Linked DNA regions of Pelodiscus sinensis. The protein of the gene in region 1 purifies or fractionates together with the protein of each later gene. This does not show direct contact. Links are inferred from orthologs where the notes say so. Each region holds a gene or a part of one and is shown on either strand. Other genes may lie near its edges.

The links. The genes of interacting proteins can lie anywhere in the genome.
Region 2: the proteins of FBXW11 (region 1) and AATF purify together in Homo sapiens (affinity purification with mass spectrometry; 3 studies listed by BioGRID and IntAct, with this or other methods). This does not show direct contact. The link is inferred for Pelodiscus sinensis from reciprocal best matches to the Homo sapiens genes FBXW11 and AATF.

Annotation. Positions count from the first base shown.
Region 1 is NC_134727.1:4,105,261-4,112,691, forward strand, and holds the start of FBXW11 (F-box/WD repeat-containing protein 11), read left to right. Parts: upstream 1-4,413; 5' UTR 4,414-4,524; coding exon 4,525-4,569; intron 4,570-7,431.
Region 2 is NC_134731.1:8,441,403-8,449,111, forward strand, and holds the start of AATF (protein AATF), read left to right. Parts: upstream 1-4,691; 5' UTR 4,692-4,762; coding exon 4,763-4,847; intron 4,848-7,709. UniProt on the Homo sapiens protein: Part of the small subunit (SSU) processome, first precursor of the small eukaryotic ribosomal subunit.

The sequences.
Region 1 (7,431 bases):
ATATAGCTGCTCCAAAAGACCAGACTACTGTCACTTGAGCTGAAGGAGACTCTTCACTGGATGTTAGCAAAATAAGACACACATTTAAGCATGCCTCATTTCATCCAGCAGAGGGCACTGGCATACACGCAGACAATTCACTCCTGCTACCCTAATCAGACCTTTTGTCTTAAAGAACAGGCCTTTCATAAGTTTCAGAGGGGTAGCTGAGTTAGTCTGTAACTGGGAAAATTTAAAAAGCAGCAAATAGTCTTGCAACTCATGATACCGTCTACAGGTTTTGTTAGTCTTTAAGGTGGTGCAAGACTGTTTGTTGTTTTTTAAGTTTTTCCAGGCATTTCATGGTTCATCTCAATTCTGACAAAAGTGTAATCAATTAATGTATTTAGGACTTTGAAAGCTATGGGGACTGGGAATTTCATGACAAAGGATATAATTCAGAATTTCCTCCTCCAAATGCATAGGTTGCTACAATTTGAAGAAGCAATCTATTAGCTTTCAGCAATCTAAAGTTTGACAGAAGCAAGCATTTCTAACTCCATCCAGGAGAAGGCAGTACTATACATACATACCAGCCTGTATATTACTATAGTAAAACTTGGGCTTTATCACTGTATGTCGTTCAGTTTATGGGGAATCATCTGTCACATGTTGCCACTAGGGTTGTTAAATATTGACTAATTGACTAATCAAATAGTCGATGCATTTTGCATCGACTATTCGATTAGTCGATAGGGCGCCTCCGTCTTTGAAGTATAGCAACAGAAGAGCCTGGGGTCAGCTGGGGACTCCCCCACTGACCCGAAGCTCTGTGCGGCGCTGCTGCTTTGAAACACCATGGGGAGCCCAGCATCAGGCTCCTCGTAGCATTTCAAAGTGGCAGCGCTGCATGGAGCCCGGGATCTCCAGCTGATCCTGGGCTTCACGCAGTGCTGCCTTTTTGAAACACTGCATGCAGACTAATGCTGGGCTCCCCATGGCGTTTCAAAGTGGCAGTACTGTACAGAGCCCGGGGTCAGTGGGAAGTCCCCAGCTGATCCTGGGCTCCATGCTACACTGCTGCTTTGAAATGCCGCATTCAGCCTGGGGACACCCCAGCTGGCCCCAGGCTGCATGTGGCATTTCAAAGCGGCAGCACCGCGTGGAGTCCAGGGTCTGAGCGGCACTGCTGCTTTGAAGTACCCTCTCCCTCCCCCCCTTGCTACCTCTTTCTGATAGAGGCAGCAAGGGGGAAGGAAGCGACTAATCGACTAGTCTTTCACACCCCTACTTGCCACTAGCCAACCAAAAGTAGAATTGTTTTGTTTTTTTAAATGAGAGAGGTTTTAGGAAATTTTTTGTTTTTGTTTCGACTTCTGAATTATGGCATGAACTGAAGGAAAAGCACTATTACTAACGAAGCAATAAAGGTTAAAAAGGTTAAAAGAATGTTGAGAACTTAAATGTGACACACACCCCCATTACATTTTGTAAAAATAATCTTTTATAAAATCTTATGCCAATAGATTTCTAGGGCCAGGTTCGAAACTTAGCATAGAAATGAGAGATCTCATTCATTACCACTACAGCGTTGTGGAGGAAATTCATCCCTAGTCAGAGGCCAGCAATATATCTTAGTCTAAATTAAACCTGATTTTGAGGGCTTAAGTGGTGTTTAGGCGATCCATAGGCCCTGTGCTAGCCCTCTGCACACAGATGAATTTCACTCACTGTTGGTAGGATGCCAGTATTGATAATACTGCAACAGGTATGAAAATGATGATAGGAACAAGTTTGCGCTCCTGGTCTGTGTCTACACTGGCGCGATCTCGCGCAAAAGCGGATGCTCTTGCGCAAAAACTTGCTGCCTGTCTACACTGGCCACATGTTCTTGTGCAAGTAAACTGACGTTCTAATGTGTAAAATCAGGGCTTCTTGCACCAGAACTCTGATGCTCCCGCTCAGGAAGAAGCCCTTTTGCGCAAGAGCTCTTCCAGAAGAGGCCAGTGTAGACAGGCAACATGAATTTCTTGCACAAGAAAGCCCTATGGTTAAAATGGCCATCAGAGCTTTCTTGCGCAAGAGAGCTTCTACACTGGCATGGATGCTCTTGCGCAAAAGCACATCTCTTCCGCAAAAGCGCATGCCAGTGTAGACGCTCTCTTCTGGAAGAATTTTTGCAGAAGAACTCTTCCGCAAAAGAGTTTTTGCGTGAGAACGTGCCAGTGTAGACGTAGCCCTGGTGAAAAAACTTTTCCTTAGTTTGAGAGTGGATTTCTAATGTGAGCACATATGTGACATCTGGAAACCTACTACTTGCAAGAATAACACATTTTATGCAGACTGTCTCCATCCTCAATCACTACTCGCTCTGTAAAACTATGCAATACTTGAATACATACTCAGGGGATGAATATAAAAACAAACAAAATAGGACATGCTTTCCATACCTATAATAGATTTAAAGGACATTTCCCATCACAATGTGGATCTATAAGGTAGACCACATTAACTATTCATAGCTTTTAGACCTTCATTCCTGACTCATAAATATTTCTGTATAGTTTTCATTGATTGTCACTTATAAAGGTTTCAAAGCTTGGCTACTACTAGCAACTATTGTGTAGTAGTATTGTTTCCTTATATATTCTGTCACTGCTTTCTCTCTCACCATAGGCTTTAGTTATTTTCCATGGTAAAAAAACAATTGACTTTAAATAAGCAAATAGTACACTTGAGAAACTGAAAGTGAAACTCACTATAAACAAAAAGTGAAATTGATTTTTAAAGGGATATAAAAGACAAGTAACATCCCTTTACCATATGTACAGATGGAGCTGGCAGAAACCTCAATTTTTTTAATCTCATATCTTAATATTGTCTAGCTGCACTGGAATGTGCTTACGTCTTTAAAGAATCTGGATGTAAAGCTCTGTTGTATTGTTTCAACTGTCATTTTGGATAGAACAGAGAACATTCAGTTGTGCCATTAAGATGAATATTAGTCAAAATCCTTGCCTAAAAGGATTGCAAGGAAGATAGTGCTAGAATCACAAAAAAGCAATGCCAGGAATGTTACAATTAATAAACTCTATGTGGTCAAAAGATACGGAAATGGTAAGTAAATTCAACAATTAGGGATAATGGGTCCAAAGGCTGCTTTTCATCCCTCTGGCAATGCAAAGGGGCTTTAAGTAGGAAGAAATGGCATCTAAAATCACTCCTTTGTTTTAGGGACTTTCCTAGCTGGCCTAAAGCTGCTTTCAGACCACAGTAAACTCTTCATTCTTCATCGCTGCCCCAAATACAAAAACAGGGAAACTGGGATTCAGACAAATATACCACAGTTCTGAATGAAATACTAGAATATTAAACCGTGTGCAATCATAAGGGCCTTATATCTCTGAGAGCGCTGATGATCTTTTCTGTCCTGCGGGTCTCGGTGGGACACGCCGTGGGGCCCGGCGTCCTGCCGGTCTCGGTGGGACACGCCGTGGGGCCCGGCGTCCTGCCGGTCTCGGTGGGACACGCCGTGGGGCCCGGCGTCCTGCCGGTCTCGGTGGGACACGCCGTGGGGCCCGGCGTCCTGCTGGTCTCGGTGGGACACGCCGTGGGGCCCGGCGTCCTGCCGGTCTCGGTGGGACACGCCGTGGGGCCCGGCGTCCTGCCGGTCTCGGTGGGACGCGCCGTGGGGCCCGGTGTCCTGCGGGTCTCGGTGGGACACGCCGTGGGGCTCGGCGTCCTGCGGGTCTCGGTGGGACGTGCCCTGGGGCCCGGTGTCCTGCTGGTCTCGGTGGGACGCGCCGTGGGGCCCGGCGTCCTGCTGGTCTCGGTGGGACACGCCGTGGGGCCCGGTGTCCTGCGGGTCTCGGTGGGACACGCCGTGGGGCTCAGAGTCTGGCCGGTCTCTGTGGGACGCGCCGTGGGGCCCGGCGTCCTGCCGGTCTCTGTGGGACGCGCCGTGGGGCTCAGCGTCCTGCTGGTCTCGGTGGGACGTGCCGTGGGGCTCAGAGTCTGGCCGGTCTCGGTGGGACGCGCCGTGGGGCCCAGCACCCTGCCGGTCTCTCGCCCCAGGCCAGGGCGGGAGGGCGTGTGGGTGCGCCAGGCCTGCCCTGGGCGGGGGGCCTTGCTGGCAGGTGGGATGGGAAGGTGCCATTGGCCTGGGCCTCAGTGGCCCGCCAGCCCCACTCAGCCTGGGGCTCTCCCTTCACAAGACTCCATCTCCCAGCATGCACTCCGAGGGCCGTTCCTGGCGCCTGGCCTGCTGGGCTTTGCAGTCCTCTCCGCGCCGTGCGGCGAAGGCGCCGCGGAGCCTGCCGGGAGTCGTAGGCCCTGCGGAGGCGAGGTGGGAAGCGGGGGGGCGTTGGCGGCGCTTCCTGTTCCGGGCGCGCGGCGGGCACCGCGAGCCTGCGTGCGTCCGGCGGGCGGGGGGCGGGAGCAGCTGGCGGCGGCGGCCCGAGGTCGGAGCCAGGCGGGGTTCGGTTCCGCGCTGCGGCCGGGCGGGAGGCAGGCGCGGGGGGGAGGGGCGCGGAGCCGCCCGCCGCGATGGAGCCCGACTCAGTGATCGAGGACAAGACCATCGAGCTGATGGTGAGTGCCCCCCCCCCCCCGCCGGAACCTCCCCTCCCCCACCCCAGAGTGCCCCCCCCGGCCGGGCAGGAGAGCGGCGGGGCGGGCCTCTGGTCCCACGCTGAGCCAGGAGTAGGCCCCGCCGCGGCCGGGGGAGGGGGAGCGGGCTCGGGCCTTGCGGGGGGGCTCCCCCCGCCCCCCACCCTGAGCGAAGGTGACATTTGAATCCGCCCGGGCTGCGTGGAAGGTGCGAGATCGGGATCATCCCCCCCCCCCCCCCCCCGCCGGCTGCTGGGTGAGCGGGGCTGGGCCCAGGGAGCCCCCCCCCTTTCCTGCCGCGAGACCTTCGGGCCCACGCGCGGGGCTCCCTCCCCCAGTCCAGCTCCTGCCCGCTGGCCCCCAAATCCGCCCCCTCCTCTTCATTGTTCCTCAGAATAACCTCGACCTGTCATTCAACAAACAAGCCACGCCCCTCCCGAAAATATGGACCCCCCCCCATCCAGGATCTCGTTTGGAAAGCCATTGAAAAGGGCCTGAGATTTTTTTTGTGCGGTGGGGAAGATTGGACAAGCAGGTTATTAATTATTTTTACAAATAATCACTGATCAGTGTGGATTATGTGGGCAATTAAACACACACTTTTTTTTTAAACAAGATGACATTCAGCATGTAGTCATTGTCCCCTTTTTGTTCATGGAGCTCTTCCTGAGATGCAGCATCTTGTTTTTTTAACTTTGAGTACAGATGATGATAAACATCCTCTGCAACCCAGTATTTTTGAATCACTTGGTTAAATTGATTACCAAATATGTAAAGGGGTTTGTCTTAGAAGGCAAAGAATTTGTAGCTTAGCATGTAGGTCTATTTTAATCAAATATATTTTGTAATTAATACTGTGTTTTTAAAGTGGCTAGTGTGTGTGTGTGTATATATATATATATATATATATATATATATATATATATAAAATATTTGGGAATTATTTTTACTCCTTATATTTGAGAATGTGTGTTTTATTTCAGTGAGTAAGCATTTACTGAATTGATTTATATCTCTCAGCAGAAGCAATAGGCCTTTTGTGAATTGTTCAGTGCAGTAAATAATTTTGCAAACTCTGTGTAACTTGAAACCTGGGTTCTATAGTTGATTTACTAAATGTTTATTGCACTAAACTTAGGTTGCCGGAAAGTTAGCTGTGGGACAGTGAGAGGGATTCTTTATAGAAATAGTAAGAGCAGTCACAAAATATTAGTAGAATTATGTTAAGATAACTTTAGGGGAAAAATGTTTTTTAAATTAATATCTGGGATAGATTAGAATTGGTGATCAAGTTTAATATTTTGTGTACTACTTTGCCTGCACTAACCATTGTTACCTATTAGATAGAAATGTAATGATGCACAGCTATCCTTGTTTTGTGTTTGTACAGTGCCTAGCACAATGGGATCTTGTCCATGAATGGGACTTCTATGTGCTACTCTCAATAATTATCTTGTTTGCTTCATTCTGTGTGAAGCATCTGGCACTGTCTACTGTTGAAAGACAGGATGCTGGAGTAGATGTACCATTGGCCTGAGGCAGTATGGCTAATTTTCTTTCAGTGATAAAAATAATGTAGATAACAAGATCTCATGCATGCTTTAACTGACCATTGGAAGTGTTCTAGGTGCTGGATAGGCATAAGATGACACAAATTGGCATTTTTAGGTATTTCCACATTCTTTTAGTAATATAGTCTGAGCAAACGACCAGGTTTGATGTTCTGTAAACTTCTTTTATAAAATTTTCATATCATTGGCTGAGCACTGTTAATCTTGTTCTTTTACTAAGCAGAAATTCATGTTATGCTTTCTGCATTTTCTTATCTCGTTGCTGATCACTGAGGTCTGTAGCTGTAGCTATTCTTAAGAGAGTCCTTTCTTGATCCTTATTGATTTAGTAACCCCATATTTTAATGTTGATGACCTCAGAATTGCTTTCATGTTAACAGCTTGTAATGTTGCAAACAATAGCTGGTGAAATCAACCAGTCAGACATCATCAGTTGAAGAAAAAAATTCTAGTTGTCCAGGAATGAGTTCTACAGGAACAAATATAATTGCATATACAATGCACAAGATGAATTTTAGTGGTGGTTTTGTGTCACATAATGAGTAGGTACTCATGGTGGCTGTGTACTAAAATTTAATGGGTGTTTAAGCCAGACAGGTGAAACAATGCTATCTAACTTTCTTGGCAGTCTTTTGACAGACTGACTTCCATTTTAGTATTTTCTGTTTTTTGGCTGTGTTGCTAACTAACAGAAGCAAATAATTGTTTGGAATAATTTAATTGCAACCGTGATCACTTCTGGGAAATGGTAAAAAAGCAACCAAGGGATTTTAATAAAACAACTTTAAAAGATTTTGGATCTCTTTAAAAAAATAAAAATCAAGGCTTCTTTGCATTATGCAATAGGAATCCAATAAAATGTACAGTTACTTTAGCTAATGTATATATGAACTGGCAGTGCTTGTAAAGAGTGAATGTGTGGGGCTGAAAACCAAGGCTGCTGCTTTCTATTAAATTAATACAAATAATAAGATCAAGAAAAAAGTATATTTTACAGATTATTACATAGAAAACAGTAGTTTGTAAATATGTCTACAATTTTACACTTATTTTTAATGCCAGTTAAGGCAGCATTAAAACATACTTTTGACCTGCGCTAAATGTTATACTGAATCTATACAGTCTTCATAAACAAATATTATTTAACAACTTGATCGTGTTTTGCCTCCTTCCTCAAAAGGGATATTTAAGATTCTGTGAAACTGGAAACAAATAAAAAGCAGCCTGTAATAAATAAATAAATAAATAAAAAATAGTGAAGGATATTTGAATA
Region 2 (7,709 bases), on another chromosome or scaffold:
CAAATGCCAAAAAGCCATCCAAAGGTTTCATAGAACAAGGGGAAATATGAATGAGGGAAATGAGAAGATGATGTTTTTACTGTAGTCTTCCAGGAGCACACTTGTACATCTGTGACACGTTTAAATCAATGTTTTTATTTTAGCAAATAAGCATTAAGATCTACAGTAACATTAAAGGAACTGTGTTAACTAGTTTGGGGATTCATATTTCCAGTTTGTAAACAGAAAGAAGACTTTACAATACCAAGTCTGAATATAAATGCTTTCAGGAGTGTGTTAAAAATTAAATGAAAAAATATTTTTATTATTATGATTTATTTATTATACAAACATTGTTTTGCATGATTATGAATCTAAACAGTAGCAGTAGCAGTAGCATTGCTTTAGGGCATATGATCCAGAAACTGAAACAGACTAGTCTGTCTCTGTCTGTTTTAATTATCCAAGCTGAGTGAAATGCAAAAAAGGAAACAAACAGAATAAAATGGAAGAAGGAAATTGGATTTCTGCAATATTTTAACACTCCATGGTGTGTTAGGAGTAGGGATTTTTTGTTTGGTTTGTGTTTATCTTATTGGAGTACCTTTACCAATGACTAACCTCCACATATTCTGAAGCTAGCCCAACACATCTCTCAAAATGTGAACAACTTTAAGGATGTGAATAGTCCCAGTGGGTTTGATTCTCCATTGTTCTGTATATTATGCTGCCATTCATACCAATGCAAAGTGAGGGCAAAGCTACCAGTCTGATTTTGTAATGTTTTACACCCACTTTGCTTTAGTGTAAATGCTGACATGAGGGGCAGGACATCAAAGAATTAAGCCTGTTGGCTTCAATAAGATTACCCATCTATGTGAAGGTATACATGAGCTGAAATGCCTGGTTGGATGAGGGACTTTATACAGAACAATAGAGCTATTAATCTCAATGGGTGAAATCCTGGCCCCACTGAATTCAATGACAACAATCCCATTGATTTCAGTGGGGCCAGGATTTAACCCAATGGGACTAGTGTAAATCACACAACATTTGGCTCATGGGATGTTCTCTGTGGATAAAATAATACATTAGGAGCATTTTATGTAACCATCACTAAAAACCCTCTCTTCTTTCAGATAGGTGGATATTGGTAGCATACCTTTGGATAGCAGAGTATTTACAAGTACCTATATTTATTATTTCTCTATATTAAATATATACATGTTCCTCCATTAATAATGTGAGCTTGTATTCTAGAATCAAAATGCCTGTTAAACCTTAAAAAATAGAGTCCAGAATGAACAACCACAGAATTCAAACTCTGTGTGTCCACAATTTCATAATATTGCGTTTAAAAAACAAATATGGTAAGGAACCCTCATTGTATGCTACAGTAAAAGCAAATAAAAAAAAAACAACAACAACCAATGTAGAGTTTTATAGCCACCTTTTCATAGCCTCAAAATGTAATTTACAACACAAAATATACATCCTTTTGTTTTTCTATTGTTTCCCCAGCTAAAAAGTATTTCAACTCTACACTGTGTAAAATCCAGGGCCTGATATATAATAAACACGTGCATTGTAATGAAAGTTTATATATATAATACCAATATAATATTATATTAGTTTTATATGCTGTTCTTTGTATATAATACGAAACAAACACCTTGCAGGGAGACTATCTCTGGGAACTTGTCTGGGAGCTTCTCCCAATCACATAGGATTTTGGGATTAGTCTCTCCTCATGGTGTTTTATAGGGTTTTCCAAAGCCCTCATTGGAAGTTAGCTGAGCAGTAAGCAGCCTCGGCTACTGAAGAAAATGGTAATTAATGATATTCCTCTGCCCTCTGTAGGACAACTGGCTGCACTGAATTCTTCTGCTTCAGGGGGAATACTAGATCCTGGAGTAGAGCAACAAATGCATGACACCTTGGTTGCTGCTTGCATTCTAATTAGAAAACATGTCTGGATTAATTTTTATAGCATTTAATGGCAGTGGGGAGAGGTTTTGTTGAATGGAAGGAGTGTATGAGGGAGTATCATGCTGAATTTCTCTTAGCTAGATGTGAATCTGGTTTTGGATTGGCATTTGTAACTCGAACCTACCATCTTAAGGGGCTGAATCCAAACACTGAATGTAAATAAACTGAAATTTGGGGAGAATCAGATTTCAGTCTTCTATGTTTTTCACATTTGGGGTTTTAAGGTGAATCATTATATACATGAAGTTTAGATCCTGATCTGGAATTTTGGTCTGAGGTTTTGTAAAGGTCTGCCTATGCACATCCTTGTGCGAGACAGGGAAGGAAGTATATTAAAACAAAGAAAAAAATTACCTTGAAATATTTAATACACAAAGTGAGAAAATAATTTACACTATATCATATATTAAGCAGCTTTTTTTACAAAAATAAAATGAAAGTGTGGTGTTTATTTTATTAAGTATTTTAAATGTTTATGATCATATATAAGACATGGGGGTGAGGAACTTTTTTGGGTCAGGGGTCGTCCACCCACAGAAAAGTCAGTCAGGGGCCGCATATGAGGGAGAAGCAAAAAACCAAAATCTCATTGACATGGCAAGTGTGAGTCAGAGCTAGGACTCGCTCAGAATCTCCCAGTTTTTGTGTGCTTATGCCATTTATGTATAATTATACAGAACAGGTGTTCCAGTTTATTAGATAGTAACCATATTCTCCAGCACGTGACCTCAAAGGTCAAAGGCCAAGGTGTTGATTTCAAACATGGGACCTTATTCTGTAACTCTTGGATAATTTTACTCCACGGGACTGATGTATGAATAAGGGTTGTGGAATGGGCTACAGTACTAGCCTAGGACATAATTATTGAATTAACAGGGACTGACCTCAAGTTCAAATTCCAAATGGAAAAAGCAAGATTTTTTGTAATAAATAACTGGTTTTAGTAAGAGTGGCTGCTGCAAGTTCCTTCTGTACTTCAAAGTGTTAATTCAGTTGGGCCACATCCTCAGCTAATGTAAATTGTCATAGCTCCATTGACACAATGAGACTTTACCCAAGATGAGAATCTGGCTCATTGCACAAGAACACACTTGTGCCCACACAAAAGGTAGAACCCTATTTACCATAAAATTTAGTTAGATAACATATAATTTTTTTTGAAAAACAAAATCTATGTGAGGGGTACATGACCTAAATAAGGATAATGAGTGTGTTCCGGGGGAAAAGGGTTGTAGGTTTTTCTGGTTTTATAAATAAAACATACTCCTTACATAGGTTTACATACATGCTTAGATAATCATACATTCCCACACCTGCACCCACACATCCTCCTCTCCCGCATTAGCACTCACACTGATCCTCCTTTACCTCACCGCAACACACAGTGTCACGTACCACAGGCCCTGCTTCACCCCACTTATCCATACAAAAGTCCCACCCACTTAGCCTTCCCTCACAACCTCTCTTCAGCTCCCCTTATACAGCCAGTCCCCGACTTATGAACGAGTTACGTACCAAACACTAGGTCGTAAGTCCATCTGTTCGTAAGTCGGATTACATTCACTTACATTACGGCCGCGCTGTTCGTAAGTGCGGATTTTGTTCGTAACTCGGGTTCCGGCTGTATAGGAGGTTGGTCGTAAATACAAATGGTTGTAAGTCGATGCTTTTGTAACTCGGGGAACCAGCTGTATACCCACTTGTCCTCTCCTTAATCCCCTCTCCCCCCTGCACCTCCCTTTATATCCCTGGCCTTCTTCCCCCACCTTTTACCCACTCCCCCATCGCTTCATCTGAACCCATCCTCCCCCTCTCCATAACCACTAGGGTTACCAATTTTTGTTGGTCATATTCCCAGGGGCCTTCAGCACAGGACAAAAATCTTCAATGAGAGATTAATTTTTTAATTCTTGGAGCCTCCAGGACAGTCCTGACCCTGGAGGGTAAGCAGTCTTAATAAGCACACCCCCACCTCATCCTGATATCCCCTTATACCCACCCACTCCAACCCCCTTAGTGATTCCCCCATCCCCCTTTATGCCCCCTGTGATTCCCCCCTCCCTAGTGATTTCCTCACCCCCTTTATATGCCCCTCCACCCCCTTAGTTATTTCTCATCCCCCTTTATACCCCCTCGACCCCCTTAGTGATTCCTCATCCCCCTTTATACCCCCTCGACCCCCTTAGTGATTCCCCATCCCCCTCCACCCCCTTAGTTATTCCTCATCCCCCTTTATACCCCCTCGACCCCCTTAGTGATTCCTCATCCCCATTTATACCCCCTCGACCCCCTTAGTGATTCCCCATCCCCCTCCACCCCCTTAGTTATTCCTCATCCCCCTTTATACCCCCTCGACCCCCTTAGTGATTCCTCATCCCCATTTATACCCCCTCGACCCCCTTAGTGATTCCCCATCCCCCTCGACCCCCTTAGTTATTCCTCATCCCCCTTTATACCCCCTCGACCCCCTTAGTGATTCCCCATCCCCCTTTATGACCCCATCCCCCCCTTAGCCCCCTCCACCCCCTTAGTGATTCCCCATCCCCCTTTATAACCCCGTGACCCCATCCCCCCCTTAGCCCCCTCCACCCCCCTTAGTGATCACCCCCCTGCTCCACCCCCGAGTGCTCCCCCCACCCCCTTGAAAACCACGCCCCCTCGCCCGCACTCCCCGCCCCTGCACCCCAGTTACCCCCACGCGCGCTGACCCTCCCCGCCCCACGTCAGGCGGAGCCGCTCACTCCCCCCCCGGAAGCGCGGCCTGCTCGAGCCCCCGGCGCGGCGGGCAGGGAAGATGGCGGCGCCCCTAGCGCTGCAGCTGGAGCAGCTGCTCAACCCCCTGCCCCGGCCGGCCGACCCCGAGGACGACCCGGAGGAAGGTGAGGGGGGCGCCGGGAGGGGGGCGCCGGGCTGGGCCACGTGCGCGCCTTGTGGGGAGCCGAGCGCGCGGCGCCCATTGCGCGGGCTCCCGGGCGGCGGCGGGGCTGGGGGCTCCCCGGGGGGCTCCGCCCCGCCCAGGGGCTGCGGGCGGCGTCTCCCCTCAGCGCCGTGCGCCCCCCCCCCCGGCCAAGGGTGGCCCCGAGATCGCCGGGCTGAGGGCTCCCCAACACTGCCACCGCGCCACGTGCTCCCTCCTGGGCAGGGGCTGGGGGCTGCCTCCGCCCCCCCCCCGCCCAGCGCCGTGCTCCCCCCTCCGCTCCCGGCAGGGGCTGGGGGCTGCTCCCGACCCCCCCCAGCGCCGTGCTCCCCCCTCCGCTCCCGGCAGGGGCTGGGGGCTGCTCCCGACCCCCCCCAGCGCCGTGCTCCCCCCTCCAGCTCCCGGCAGGGGCTGGGGGCTGCTCCCGACCCCCCCCCCAGCGCCGTGCTCCCCCCCTCGCTCCCGGCAGGGGCTGGGGGCTGCCCCCCCCCCAGCGCCGTGCTCCCCCCTCCAGCTCCCGGAAGGGGTTGGGGGCTGCCCCCCCCAGCGCCGTGCTCCCCCCTCCGCTCCCGGAAGGGGTTGGGGGCTGCCCCCCCCCAGCGCCGTGCTCCCCCCTCCGCTCCCGGCAGGGCCTGGGGGCTGCCCCCGACCCCCCCCCAGCGCCGTGCGCCCCTCCCCCTGGCCAAGGGTGGCCCCGAGATCGCCGGGCTGAGGGCTCCCCAACACTGCCACCGTGCCACGTGCTCCCTCCTGGGCAGTGGCTGAGGGCTGCCCCCGAACACTCGCCCTCCCCCCCCCAGCGTCGTGCTCCCCCCCACTCCCGGCAGTGGCTGAGGGCTGCACCTGACATCTCCCCTAACACCATGTGGGTCCCCCCCCCCCCCCCAGCAACCAGGGGCTGCCCTTCCAACACCTTCCACAGCATCATGTGCTCCATCCTGGGCAGTGCCTGGGGGCTGCCCCCTGACAGTGTGTCCCCCAGCAGCCGTGGGGATTAATCTCTAAGAATTTCTCAGTGCATTACACCCTAGGCCACTGGGGGATGTGCTTTTCACTCCCCCCCCCCCCAACTCTTTTCTCCTCCCTGAATGCTGAGTGGGGTCTGCTTCCCCTTTCTCAATACTGCTTCTCTCTTCTTCCTCTCTCCGACAGTGACCAGGGGCTAACACCTATGCTTCTTTCCCATTTCCAAAATTGGGGCCTTCTTTCCCTTAACTCCTCTCTCTTCCCTGAGGCTGCTCCCCTTCTTCCCCCTTAGTGCCTATGATAGAACCTCAGGGTTAGGAACTGATCAGTCAACCACGCATAGAAGTGAAGGGGGGCCGATACTGCATACCGGTAAGAAGTGGTCGCTGGCACTGGCCCATACACGGTCGAAGTTTAAGTGCTGACGCAGTAACACTTTAAGGACCCTCCTTACCATCGCAACGCTTTAATGTCACTGCCCCTTCTGCTCTCCTCATCAGTGTCCCTGCCAGAGAGTGAGGGGAGCAAAAGGGGCAGCTACCTCAGGACCTGGCTATTTAAAAGGGCCCAGGACTCCCAGCTGCCCCATTGCAGTAATTGAGGCGTGGCTGGGGACCCTAGGCCATTCAAATTGCCACTGGGCTACTGGTATACTAATATACCTGGTATACTAATAAGTCCTGGCAATTGCTTTTCCCCTGGCTACACACTTCAGTTAGAACTGCAAGTACACAATCAGACAGCAGCAAAGACCACAAAAACAACAACAACCCCCCCAATACCATATAGTACCGTGTTTAATGTAAATTGCAGAGAAAAAAAAAGCAGCATTTTTTCTGCATAGTAAAGTGTCAAAGCTGTATTAAGTCAACATTAGGTTGTAAACTTTTTTGAAAGAACCACCATAATGTTTTGTTCAGAGTTACCGACATTTCAGCATTATGAACTACCTCCATTCCTGAGTTGCCTGTAAATCTGAGGTTCTAGTATACCACAGTACGTGTGTGCTTTCCCTTTTTTCCACTGTGGGCATTTGTGTGGCCTGCCGAACCACTTGGTAATTATATTTCGATACCCATTTACCTTGATCCACAGCTCAGCACCTATGCGAGGCCTCTCCATTCTGAAGAGTCTCCCATATAAATCACTGGGGCCCTGAGTGGCAGCATGACAGTCCTTGCAGTTCATCATCTCATTTTGGTGGAGATGGATCTGTCTTTCACTACTCCTGCTATACTAGTGATTGTTTTAAGTTTTGTCTTTCAAGCATCCCAGCATTATGAAGGACTATCACTCTTTACTGCTCAAAATGTATTCTCCCCCCTCCTCCATGTGAGTTTGCTGTGAACAACTGTATTCTTGTATTAATTCATATAAAGATGCAGCATCACAAAATTTAGTTTACTGCTGGGGAAATTAATGACCCACCATTTTAAGGTTCTTTAGGGGGTAGCCGAGTTAGTCTGTACAGGATAAACTTAAAAAACAACAAATGGTCTGGTAGCACTTTATAGACTAACAAAACATTTAGATGGTTTCATGAGCTTTCACGGGCACAGCTTTCTGACTTATTTTCATGTGTCCCTCAGTTTCTCTCTGCATGTGTCCCACATTTGGCCAGATTGGTTATACTGGTGTGTGATGAATTGATTGATTTAGTCACTGTTCCATACTAAGCAGGGCCTTGGACATGTATCACAGGGTCCTGTTGTTTGCATTGTGTCCAAAATGCATGCTGGTTTGGAGCTTAAAAACTGTACTGGACACCGAATATTTCACAAATTAAACCAGTCAGCCAAAGGCGGCTACAGATATGAGGGAGGATGTGCACCAGTGACATCCTGGGGCAACAGTAAAA